3 linked regions of the Mus musculus genome follow. The protein of the gene in region 3 purifies or fractionates together with the protein of the main gene of each other region. This does not show direct contact. Links are inferred from orthologs where the notes say so. Each region holds a gene or a part of one and is shown on either strand. Other genes may lie near its edges.

Region 1 (4,302 bases), about 89 Mb from region 3:
CAGATGATCCAAAGCTCTCTTCTAGATTAGACATACACCAGACAAACTCTGGTACAGAGACATGCACGCAGGCAAAACAACCACACAGAGAAACTAAAACCAAAACTTTTTTTTTTTTTTGAGTCCACCACTGTGGCTCATCCTCATAATCCCAGAACTCTAGACTTGAAAGCAGGATCTGCGGCCCACAAAAGGAGCTCTGGGGCTTCGGAGCAGTGAGTTTTGGTTTTTTGTTTTGTTTTTGGAAGTGAAGTCTTATAGCCCAGGCAGAAAGAAAAGAGACCTTTCATGTCTCACTTGTTTCATATTAATTGCTGATATTTAAATTTCTGTTCTAGTGCTGAAGATGGCTCAGAGGATAAAAGACTGCTTACTGTTCTTCCCAAAGACCAGAGTTCAGGTCCCAGCACCCGGATAATACAGTTTACATCCGGGTCCAAGGAATGAGACGCCCTCTGCTGGCCTCTGTGGACACTGACATGCATGTTCCGCACACAAAGAAACCTTTACATTTGTATGTCCTAAATACACTGTAAAATGCAATAGAAATAATTAATGAACCAGTGTGTGGCCCATGCCTACAATCCTAGGCGAAGACAGGAGGCAGCTCTTTCTAAGTCTGAGGCTAGTCTGGACTAAATAGTGAGATGGTGTCAGAAACGGGAGAGCAGGGAGAGGAGGAAGAGGACAAAGTGTAAGGTACACCAAGCAGAAATAAGTCAACTGTATTTCTGACTTCAAAGCTTTAGAGACATGACCACTTCTGAAAACACCAGTGTATTACCAAAGCAACCCAAGCTCCCTGTCAAACACAAATAGGCTTCACTAAGCTGCAGACACTGAATGAAATGGTTCAGACTAGTCTGTCCCTTTTTAGTTTTTTAAGACAGAGTCTGATATTGGTACTTGAGGCTTGTCTTAACCTTCCATCCATACAAAGGATGGCCTTGAACTTCACACCTCTCAAAAGACTGCAGCAGAGAGCCACCAATGCCTGGTTTTGGTGGCTCTCTGCTGGGTGCTGGGGTTCAAACTCTAGACCTAACCCATGCTAAACAAACACTCTACAAACTGATTTAAATCCCCAGGTCCTAGTTTAACTTTTCATTCATTCAACAAACACTAAACAACTATTATGCAAGGTGAGACAGTTAAATGTCAACTATGAGCCAGGACATGGAGATGCATTTTCAGGCTTGTAAATCTCAACACCCACTCTGGGTCCGCAATGGGGTAACCACTACTACTTAATTTAAGAGTAGAGGAAGTGTTTTGGATGTTTCATCATATCAACTAAGGGATTCATTTTTCAACATTTATATAAAGGTGAAATTTTACTAGAGGTATTATTGGGGCCAGTGAGGTGGAAACACATGGGTAAAAGCACTTGTCACAAGCATCAAGATCTAAATTCAAGCCGGGTGGCCCATGCCTTTGATCCCAGCACTTGGGAGGCAGAGGCAGGCTGATTTCTGAGTTCGAGGCCAGCCTGGTCTACAAAGTGAGTTCCAGGACAGCCAGGGCTATACAGAGAAACCCTGTCTCTGAAAAAAAAAAAAGTATCTAAGTTCAATTCCTGGACCAGTATGGTGTTCGAGGAGAATTGATTTGCTTAAGTGGACATGAAAACAGGAGTTGTGTGTACCCCTCCAAAGTAAATAGTTGTAATTCTTTTTAAAGTGTCAACAAAGGGTTAATTCACGACTTTTGTAAAACAACTGACTCAGCAGAATTTGCATTCTAAAGTACGGGAAACACACTTTTCCCAAAAAAATTAACATTGCAAAAAATATATATATGATAAAAACTAAGCTCTCGCCAGGTGTGGTGGCGCATGCCTTTAATCCCAGCACTTGGGAGGCAGAGGCAGGAGGATTTCTGAGTTCGAGGCCAGCCTGGTCTACAAAGTGAGTTCCAGGACAGCCAGGGCTACGAAAAACAAAACAAACAAACAAAAAAACCTAACTCTCGCTTGTACTCACATCCTTACACACCACCTAAAGTACAATGAAGTGGAAAACCAACACTTTTAATAGTTCTATATCAATTGTACAATACAAGGTTTAAACCTACATGAATCCACAAGGCCAGTCATCCAAGGTCCCCTACTAATCCACATAGGGTAGCAAGCCCTTAGTTACCTAGACGCTCAACAACTGGTCTCTAAACAAAACTTCAAGATACTTTTATTAGGATGGGCTCTTTGTTCACACACCTAAGGCAGCTAACAAAAGAACAGAAACACACGCTCTGCGACTCTGTCCAGTTCCACCTCTCCTGCACATAAGAGAGAGTGAGATGGGGCTTCCCACGCGAGTACGTGGGCCCCAGAGAGCCAGCAGCTGGGGCCAGGTCGCCGCGTGCCTAGTCGCCCGCGGGGGCGTGGCAAGCGCCGAGCCGGCCTTTGTTGTCCCTCGTGGCGCGCGGAGGGGGGGGGGGAGGGGCGGCCCCAGACATGCGAAGCGGGCAGCCACCATCAGCCCCCGTCGCGTGGCTCCTCGGTCCCCACGGGCGCGCGCGAACCCACCTTCTTGTAGTGCTTGCCCAGCCAGACTCGCACCGAATCTAGCTGGGACACCGTGTCCGGGCTCTCCCAAAACTTGCTGGCCGGGCCCCCGTCCTTCCTCCGGTACACGGCCAGCCCGGAGGCCGCCGCCGCACCCCCTGCACCCACGGCGCCTGCTGCTGCTCCCGGACCGCCACCCGCTGTCGCGGCCATAGTCACCGTCCGTCGTGTCTACCGCCCGGCCTAGCCTGGCCCTCGCGGCGTTTCCCGTTCGCACCCGCGCGCGCGCGCGCAGATGCCACCTCCTCCTCCTCCTCCTAGCCCCGCCCAGCCAACCCTCTTCCGGCGCCGAGGCGCGGCCACGCCCCTTCTGGACCCTAAAGCTGCAACGAACAGGCACTGAGAGCGGGCGTACGCATGCGCAGCACGCCGGTAGTCCCCTACGGACTGAGGCTGCCCGCCTTTTCCTCTGGTCTCTCGGAACTGAGCCTCAGCCTCTGCTGTTGGTAGACACTACGAATGACTCTTCCGGGCCCCGTTTGTCTATTCGTTAGGCGGTCAACAATCTCAAGGAGGTTCTGTATCTCTACTAGAAAAAGCGGTCTAGGGTGTGCAGTGCGAGCCGAGCCCCACCCCACCCCACCCCCCCGCGTACCCGCCCCCGAGCGCTAGTAAGCAATTCCTGCTAGTCCCGGAGGCCGCGTCGGTTTGGGGACCTGCATTAAAGACCTAGTCTTTCTTGGGGCTTCATTAATGTTTCTCGAACCACATCAGATGGTTTCTGCTTAGTCGGCCTAGCTCCAGCTACTTCTGCGACCTGGACATTATCTTCCTTTGTGATTCGCACTCTCTCAAATTCATCACTTTAAAAGTATTCCAGAAAACCAGTCCCTGAGTGAACAAGTGATCACAATTACCCAACGGTTTTTTTTGTAGCTCTCTCTTCAACCTGGTGTTTTTATCATCCGCGTTGGGAACTGGACGCTTTATCTACATTTGAAGGCTATATGAAGGCTGAAAGTTTACATTGTAAACAATGTATTGGCTGTATTGGAAACGTGAACATGATATGTTCACGAAGCTCCAAGTGAGGAGGTGTGATGAGTTTATAGACCTTAAAAAAAAATGGAGATAGCCTAGAAGATGTAGTGTGCACGCCTTTAATCCCATAAGGTAGAAGCAGGAGGTTTTCTGAGTTCCAGGCCTGCCTGATGTACATAGAGCTTGAAAGCCAGGACAACCAGGGCTACAGGAAACCCTCCCTGCCTGAACAAACAAAAGAGACTAGTTGTCTCAGGTTATGTATTTGGCTCAGTTCTTAAAAAGCTTGGCAACCTGAGTTGGAACCCCAGAATTCTCATAAAAGTAGAAGGTGAAATTCTTCACGAAGTTACACCCTGACTGTGTACTGTGGCACACATACATCACCCATACCTAATTCTGGGTGGTAGTAATCCTAGCACTCAGGAGGTCGCTGACTTTTAGGCCAGCTTGTTACCATAGTGAGTTCCAAGACTACATACAGAGACCCTGTCTCAACAACAAAATGGAGCAGGGCAGTGAAATGGCTCAGCGGGTAATGCCAATAGTGACGACCTAAATTCAATTCTGGAACTGGAACAATGGAAGGAGAGAACCAACCAACTAACTTGTCCTCTGACTTCTACAGGCAGCCTGGAATGACATGCTTGTCATGGCACATTCACACCCACAGACATAAGCAACATAAAGTAAATGCATAAATGTAATTTAAAAGTTCTTTTAAAGCCGGGCGTGGTGGCACATGCCTTTAATCC
Region 2 (3,645 bases), on a different chromosome or scaffold from region 3:
CACAGGGATGCACCGAGTCCTCCCAGCTCCGTCTCCAGGAGGTTAATGCTCCTGCGAAAGCACCTCCGAAAGCGAGATAAAGAGTAAAACGTGCCGCCCCAGAGAGATCACCCAAACAAGTCGGGGGCAGCTGGAGCACACTCCCCAGAATGTGTACGCACTTCGGGAAGGCTTCAGTGCCCTGAAACCTGGTGCTCTGAGCAGGGTCGCTGTCAGCACCTTAGGAGCTGATCTGACTCAAAAGAGCAGAGAAGTCCATGTCCGCAATGGAGGAGAAGTCTTCATCTCCTGAGAGACCATTGGGAAGCCCCGAGGTCCCCAGGGGTGTGGGAGCTGGGTCAGGGGGCCTCTGGGACCCTGTCACCAGGCGAGTTATAGCTTCAGGGTACTCCATCAGCATGGGCTCAGCTGTGGAGTGAGACATGGACACACCCTGGTTCAGGAGCTGCTGAAACTCTGAGTTGTCCACAGATGCCAGGTCTGTGAACACTCCTGGGTCTGTGCTGTTGCCAAGCAAGGCCCCCAAGTCTTCATCAGCATCAAACTGCAGGTGCAGCAGGGCTTCCGACAGCGTGCCTTCCCCAGCCTGGGTGCTCTTTGGAACAGGTGCAGACAGGGACTGGGGAGGACCCGGGGTTAGAACTGGGGCAGGAGCTGGGGGCTGAGCCAGAGGTACCATGGCTGAGGAAGGGACCATGGTCTGGGCAAGGACTGGGGCAGAGGACGGTGCCAAGGCCAGGGCCTGGTTTGAGATCTGCCCTGATGGTAACAGCATGGGGGAAAACTCATCAAAGTTGATGGTGCTGAGGGATGCTGGGAAGGTGTAGGGCTGCGGGGCTGGAGAGAGAGACAAAGAACAAAGGCTCAGAGGCAGTGAGAGACATACACGGCCCCTCTGCCACCACCTGACCCAGCTCTACCATGCTTAGAATCAGTACCTTTCTGGGAACCAAAATCTGACCAGGCCTGTAGGGTCCACTTCCAAGGGCCACAGTGAGGTGTTCCCTAGCTACTGCGGTCATAAAGCTCTCACCATGTTACAGCTGCAAAGCCAGCGAAGAGGATGAACCATGGAGCACGGGCTCAGTGGTGGGAGTCTGTCACTCTTGTGAGCCACGCACCAGAACCCACAACCTATTAATTTTTTTTTTTTCAGTTTTTCAAGACACGGTTTCTCTGTGTAGCCCTGGCTGTCCTGGAACTCACTCTGTAGACCAGGCTGGCCTCGAACTCAGAAATCCGCCTGCCTCTGCCTCCCAAGTGCTAGGATTAAAGGCATGCGCCACTACCACCCAGCCCAGCTTAATTTTTTAAATAAATGTTTTTATTTGTGAGCATTTTGCCTGCTTCTATGTATGTGCACTGCATGCGTGCAGCGCCCTTGGCGAGCAGCTATAGCTAGAGACAGCTGCTGAGAAGAGAACCCAGTGCCTTTAACCGAGCCATCTCTCTAGCCCCACAACTGATTACTTTAGAGGTGATTTCTTCTTTCTCAATTCAATGGAGAGCTGAGGGCAGAGACATTTCCAATGTCTGTATCTCAAGGTATCCAACTCAGGGATTATTTAGTCCCTTGGTACCAAATATTGAATCTAGGGTCTCTGGTGCTAGGCATGCGCTCTACATGAGCTGTACCGTATCCCTGCTTTTACTTTTAAAGCTGAGACAGGGTTCTTCAAACTGACCTTAAACTTAATAACCTTGTAGTCCAAGATGGCCTTGAACTTGTGACCCTCCTGCCACACTCTCTTGAGCAGCAGGGAATAAAGGGCTCAGGGTTTGACAGGAGCATGGCTTCTGACTTCTACTGACTTTAGGAAATGGCCAGTTCCTGTGCCACACTTTCAAAGCCTTGAGTTTATCAGTCTGTGACAAGAGCCCTGGATGGTCCTGGCAGAGACCCCGGCCTCCCCCTGAGAAGTCCAGGCCCCATGGAGAGCAGATTTCAGAACTCTGCAGGTGAGACCAATTTGGTCCCCTTCTAGAAGATACTACTTCAGTCTGAACAAATGAGACCCTCATTCTAGAAAAAGAAAAGGACTTCCTTACCTGGCTTGGGGACAGAAGTTGAGTTTCGGGTAGGCACAGCAATACGCCGGGTTGGAGGCCGGGGTTCAGTTGGTCCTACAGGGCAAAAGCTAAGTCAGCTTTCAGACCCCGGGTGTCCTCTCACTGACTCTAGGACTTGGCTGGCCTGCCCACTCCTCTCCCTCAGGCTTTCCTCATCTCACCATTGAAAGGACTCTTCTTCATGATACTCTTGAAGGTCTCATAGGTCCTTTTGCGCTTCTCTTCAATCCGGTGGCGATCATCTGGGAAAGCAATATGGATGGTGGGTTTACTCTCCTTAGCCGGGCTGCACTTCTCCCTTCTATGGGCTCTCCAGGAGGGTAGTGGAGTCATAGTTTCCTAAGACCTAGTCTCCCAACCAGTTAAGAAGGGATGTGTGACCTTCAGAGAAGGGTCTGTTGGTTGAATCCTCTTCCCCCCTGGTTTTTTGAGACTGTCTCACTATATACAGTCCTGGCTGTCCTGGAACTACACACACCAGACCAGGCTGACTTCAAACTCACTGAAATTCACTGCCCTTCCTCCAAAGTGCTGTAACTAAAGGTGTGGGCCACACAGCCAGCCTTGTTGGTTGTCTTGACCCCTGCTCTGGGGGACAAGAGCCTAGCACGCCATCTGAGCTGCTCACAGAAGCATCCACGTAGGTGGAGAGGGAAGTGCTGTGGGCAGAGCATCACAGGCCGAAGGCTCCAGACTCAGCTCAGTGTATGGCTTCTTCCTTTAGTTTGAAGCTTCAGAATTATTTGACCACCTCAGCTGCACACCGTCTAGGTGAAGCAGTATTTCACACCAGGGCACTGCTTCTTTCCCCTGTGTCTCCCTGTCTGTCCTGGCACCCAAACTGCAACCTGGAACAATTCTGAACATCATTTTTTCTTTCAATCCTCCAATACTAACTCAACACCACTTGCCAAGCACCTACTAGCAACTGGAGATGAGTAAGCACACAGAGATTTAGTCATCAAAAGGGGACCTTAAAAAGTACCAGGATCCAGAGAAACCTTGTCTCAAAAACAAAACAAAAAACAACAAAAGTGCCAGGATTCCTTTTGGCTGTTGAAGTCTCAATTCCCCCACCCCACCCCCACAGGAAAAAAAAAACACCCTAATTTATTACATTTATGTGCGTGTGTGGCCAAACAGTGGTGGTATATGCCTTTTAGGAGGCAGAGGCAGGTGCATCTCTGAGTTCAAGACCAGCCTGGCATACAAAGTGAGGTCTACGACAGCCAGGGCTGCACAGACAAATCCTGTCTCGAAAAACAAAACAAACAAACAACAAAAAACCCCAAAGCCCCCAAAACATTCATGTGTGCATGTGTGTTGCAACAAGAGGTCAGAGACAATGTGTGAGAGTCACACATTGAACTGTCACACTCTGAACTGTCTCCTTTGATCACGTGGGTTAAACAGAGGTCCTCAGCTTGACAACTCTGTCTTTTTTGAGACAAGATCTCATGTAGCCTTGGAGAGCATCAAACTTCCTATGTAGCTGAGACTAGCCCTCAACTTCCGATCCTCCTGTCTTCACCTCCCCAGTGCTGGGTTACAAGTGTCAGCACCACACCTGGTTTG
Region 3 (3,645 bases):
ATATCACCAAAAGAGTATATGCTTTAAAGGCCCCAAGCCCTGCTTGGGCTTAGACCAACAAGAAACCAGTAGCAGCTGAGTGAATTTGGCTAGGAGGCCTGTGAGAATGCTCCATGGAGATAAAACCTCTAGGGTCTAGAGACCCTGGGGTAAAACCTAACTAAAGCCTGGATGAGCCGCCCCCCACCCCAGCCCTCCATCCTGCTGCCACTATCCCTAAGCATGCTGATTAGAGCTAGGTATAGAGGTGTACATCCATGCTCTCATTGCTGAGGACTGTAAGCTAAAGGATAGCCTGAGATTATAGAGGGACATAGTCTCAAAAGGAACAGAACAAAAACACAAGCTCCTGGGCTGGAGAGGAGTTAAGAGCACTGACTGCTCTTCTAAATTCTAAAGGTCCTGAGTTCCATTCCCAGCAACCACATGGAGGCTCACAGCTATCTATCTGTAATGTGGTCCGAAGCCCTCTTCTGGTGTGTCTAAAGATAGCTACATTGTACTCATATACATAAAATAAAGAAATAAATCTTAAAAAATCAAAAAATAAAAAAAACCCAAAAGGGTAAAAAAGCCACAGGATGAGAAGGGAACTATTTGCTATGTGGAACACAGAGGCTCTAGATGGGACATGGTGCTGCATATATTCAAGCACTTGGCAAGTGGAAATAGTGAGTTCAAGGCAAGCCTGGGCTAACTCAGACAACCCTGTCTTAGTTTACCCTCTACACCATAAAAAAAGAGAGAAGAAAAAAAAGGGCCCTAAAGATGTCCCTTAATTTACAATGGGATCAGATCCTCATGAGGCAAAACTGCATTCAATCTGCCTGACCTAACATCTCAGCCAGCGGGACACAAGTTCAAAACAGCTATACACCCACAGCTGGGCCAAATCATTCAACAGGAAGCCTGAGTACATCACACAATTTATAAAGACCAAAAAGACTACACATTCCCTGGGAATAGCAGCAGCTCCCCACACCTATCTATGTGAGTCTCACATAGTCCAGGATGGCCTTGTCCTCACTTCCTCCTACTTCAGCCCCTCAAGTGCTGGGACTGCAGGTAAGCACCACCAACCTGGGCTGAATGGCAGTTAAGTATGGAGAGTAGGTAGTATTGGGCAGTAAGGTGCAACAGGCCACAGGAGGCCAAGGTAGGAAGACTAAGTATAAATGCACTGGACAACACAATAGGGCACTGTATTACAACACCCACACATACATCACCCTCCTCCCCTTTTCCCCCTCACACACAAAAAAGGCACTCAGAAGAGTCCTACCCTACCTAAAGGGTACTAAAAAGGTCAAGAACATGCTGGATTTTTCTCATCAAGCCAATTAAACACACCATCAGCAATGATGGCAGGAAAGGCCTGGGGTGTGAGTTCAGACAGATGAGGCAGAGCAGGAGTTATAAGCTCCAGGAAGCAGTGAGGCCACTCCCCTCTCAGACTGTTCCCAGTGTCTTTGACCCATCTTTGAAATCTTCTGTGAGCAGCTGGCAAGCATGCTTCCCTGAACAATGTGAGCTGCTTGGACAAATAGCTGTTGGGGGCACCCCAACTCAGCCATCTGTCAGAAGACTTGGGAAAGGCAGCTGCAGCTGGCTGGCCCATGACACTTAAAAGTTGAGGGTGGAGCTTTATGGGTTGAAGACCCCATCCCATGCGCTCTCCACTCTTGCTCTAGGTAGATGCAAGGAGAACTGAGATAGTTGAGAGCAGGCTGGGTCCACTCCTCCCACAGAGCTCACTGCTCCCCAAAGCTGCCATGTGACTATGAGATTGGTGTGGCTTCATTATTTCCAGCTTTCCCCCTCCTTTTTCCTGAGAAAGGGATTCACTGTGCAGCTCTGATTTCCAATTTAAAGATATGCCTGCTGCTTCCTGAATCAAAGTTGCATGCTGCTCTACCCAATTTTAGAGCATCAACCTCTTTATCTAAAGCTGCCTTATTTTTCTACAATGCTACAATGGACGCCAGAGTCCTCATCATGCTAGGTAAGCTCTCCCAATTTATAGTCGGTGACCTTCTTGGCAACTTCTCCTGAGTGCTGAGACTAGAGTTAGGTTCCATGTAAAACCTATCTTTGTCTAGTATGCTGCAGTATACCTGAGGCAGAAAACAGTATGACCAAAGTCATGTTAGAAGGAGCAAAAGTATTCTCTGTAGGAAGGGGAAGAAACAACATAATGGTAACTAAAAGAAAATGGAATGGGGGAGGTGCTCAGGTCTCAGGATTCAGAGGCAGAGGCAGGCAGATCTCTGTGAGTTTGAGGCCAGCCTGATCTACAGGACAGCCAAAACTACACAGAAAAACCCCATCATGACACCCCCCCAACGCCCCCCAAAAAAGAAAGCCGAGGCTGGCTCAGAACAACAAATACAAAGGAGGTAACAGAAGTGGGAGGGAGAAGGCCCTGCCCCCACCCCTCAGCACACTGCAGACTCTGCTCAGTGTGCTTCCTGTTCTGAGGGCTCACCTTGTCCTTGAAGTCCGTGTGGTTCTGCAGGATCGCACGCTGGTAGGTGCCTGTCCGCACATAGTCCTGCATCATGTTCTGCTGCTGGGATAGGTAGCCATAGAACTGGAACAGACACACACCAATAGCACGCGACACGTGGCATGACGGACTGCCACAGCCCTGGCTGCCCTAAGATGGAGGGAGGGCCTGACAGCGTAAACCTCCCTTGGGAGGTCATGTACCCTCTGCCAGCCTGTACCCAACTGACAAGAGCCAGCTGCTCCAGAAGTGGGAGCAGGGCTGAAGGACAAAGCTAGATGTCACCTGAACTTGGAGGCCACCCAAGAAATCACAGACGTTGTCATGGGTGGGATTCTAACATCTGGGGGCCAAATGTCTCATCTTAGGGCCCCAAAGAAGAAGAGGAATGGATGGAACAAAACCCTAGAGCTCAGAGCGCCAGGCAGGTGATGTGCGGTGTCTCTCTGTAAGACAACAGGCGATCAGGAGGCAGCGTGGCACCTGGCAGGGCCACAGGCTTGGGCATCAGGCAGACCTGGCTTTCCCATCGTGGCTCTGTTGCATAAGAGCTGTGTGACTTGGAGCAAAGTCACTTAACCTCTCTGAGCCTCAGATTTCTCATCTGTAAAATGGGGACAATAACAGTTGTTGGGAAAGTCCAAGTGCTGCTGAGCATGTAAGATTGCTTATACAGAGCCTTACACTCACTAAGGGTTTAGGACATGGCTACAGTTCAGTCATTACTCTAAACACCTGAGGCCCTGGGCTTCACAGATGAGGAAACTGAGGCTACGCAGCTAGTAAGGGACAGAGCCAGGATGAGCACCTGTGTGGGCCTACCCTGTGCTGCGTGACCTCCTGTGGGAAGGGAGGGGAGGGAGACACCAGGTGCTTGTCTGTCCCAGGGCAGGTGCCAGCTCACCTGGAAGTACTGCACAGCTGAGGATTCCTCTGTCCGCTCACTGAACACAGAGCGCTCCAGTGTGTGGCCCCGACAGGTTTTCAGGATGTTGTAGAAAGAACAGAAATCTGGAAAGGGGGAGCCAGATCACCAGGAGGCCAGTGCTGTACACCTCTGAGAGAATCCACAGGGCCTGGGCATTTCTTCTTCCTGTCTGCCTTTCCTGACTTGTCTACCTCCAACTTCTTAATCCCCC

What was found.
Region 1: the proteins of Carm1 (region 3) and Smarcc1 purify together in Homo sapiens (affinity purification with western blotting; 3 studies listed by BioGRID and IntAct, with this or other methods). This does not show direct contact. The link is inferred for Mus musculus from reciprocal best matches to the Homo sapiens genes CARM1 and SMARCC1.
Region 2: the proteins of Carm1 (region 3) and Rela purify together in Homo sapiens (affinity purification with western blotting; 4 studies listed by BioGRID and IntAct, with this or other methods). This does not show direct contact. The link is inferred for Mus musculus from reciprocal best matches to the Homo sapiens genes CARM1 and RELA.

The regions. Positions count from the first base shown.
Region 1 is NC_000075.6:110,130,534-110,134,835, reverse strand, and holds the start of Smarcc1 (SWI/SNF complex subunit SMARCC1), read right to left. Parts: upstream 2,813-4,302; 5' UTR 2,720-2,812; coding exon 2,528-2,719; intron 1-2,527. UniProt on the Homo sapiens protein: Involved in transcriptional activation and repression of select genes by chromatin remodeling (alteration of DNA-nucleosome topology).
Region 2 is NC_000085.6:5,643,992-5,647,636, reverse strand, and holds part of Rela (transcription factor p65), read right to left. Parts: intron 2,313-3,645; coding exon 2,232-2,312; intron 2,125-2,231; coding exon 2,050-2,124; intron 838-2,049; coding exon 221-837; 3' UTR 1-220. UniProt on the Homo sapiens protein: NF-kappa-B is a pleiotropic transcription factor present in almost all cell types and is the endpoint of a series of signal transduction events that are initiated by a vast array of stimuli related to many biological processes such as inflammation, immunity, differentiation, cell growth, tumorigenesis and apoptosis.
Region 3 is NC_000075.6:21,574,359-21,578,003, reverse strand, and holds part of Carm1 (histone-arginine methyltransferase CARM1), read right to left. Parts: intron 3,518-3,645; coding exon 3,411-3,517; intron 3,111-3,410; exon of another isoform or gene 2,591-3,110; coding exon 2,486-2,590; intron 1-2,485. UniProt on the Homo sapiens protein: Methylates (mono- and asymmetric dimethylation) the guanidino nitrogens of arginyl residues in several proteins involved in DNA packaging, transcription regulation, pre-mRNA splicing, and mRNA stability.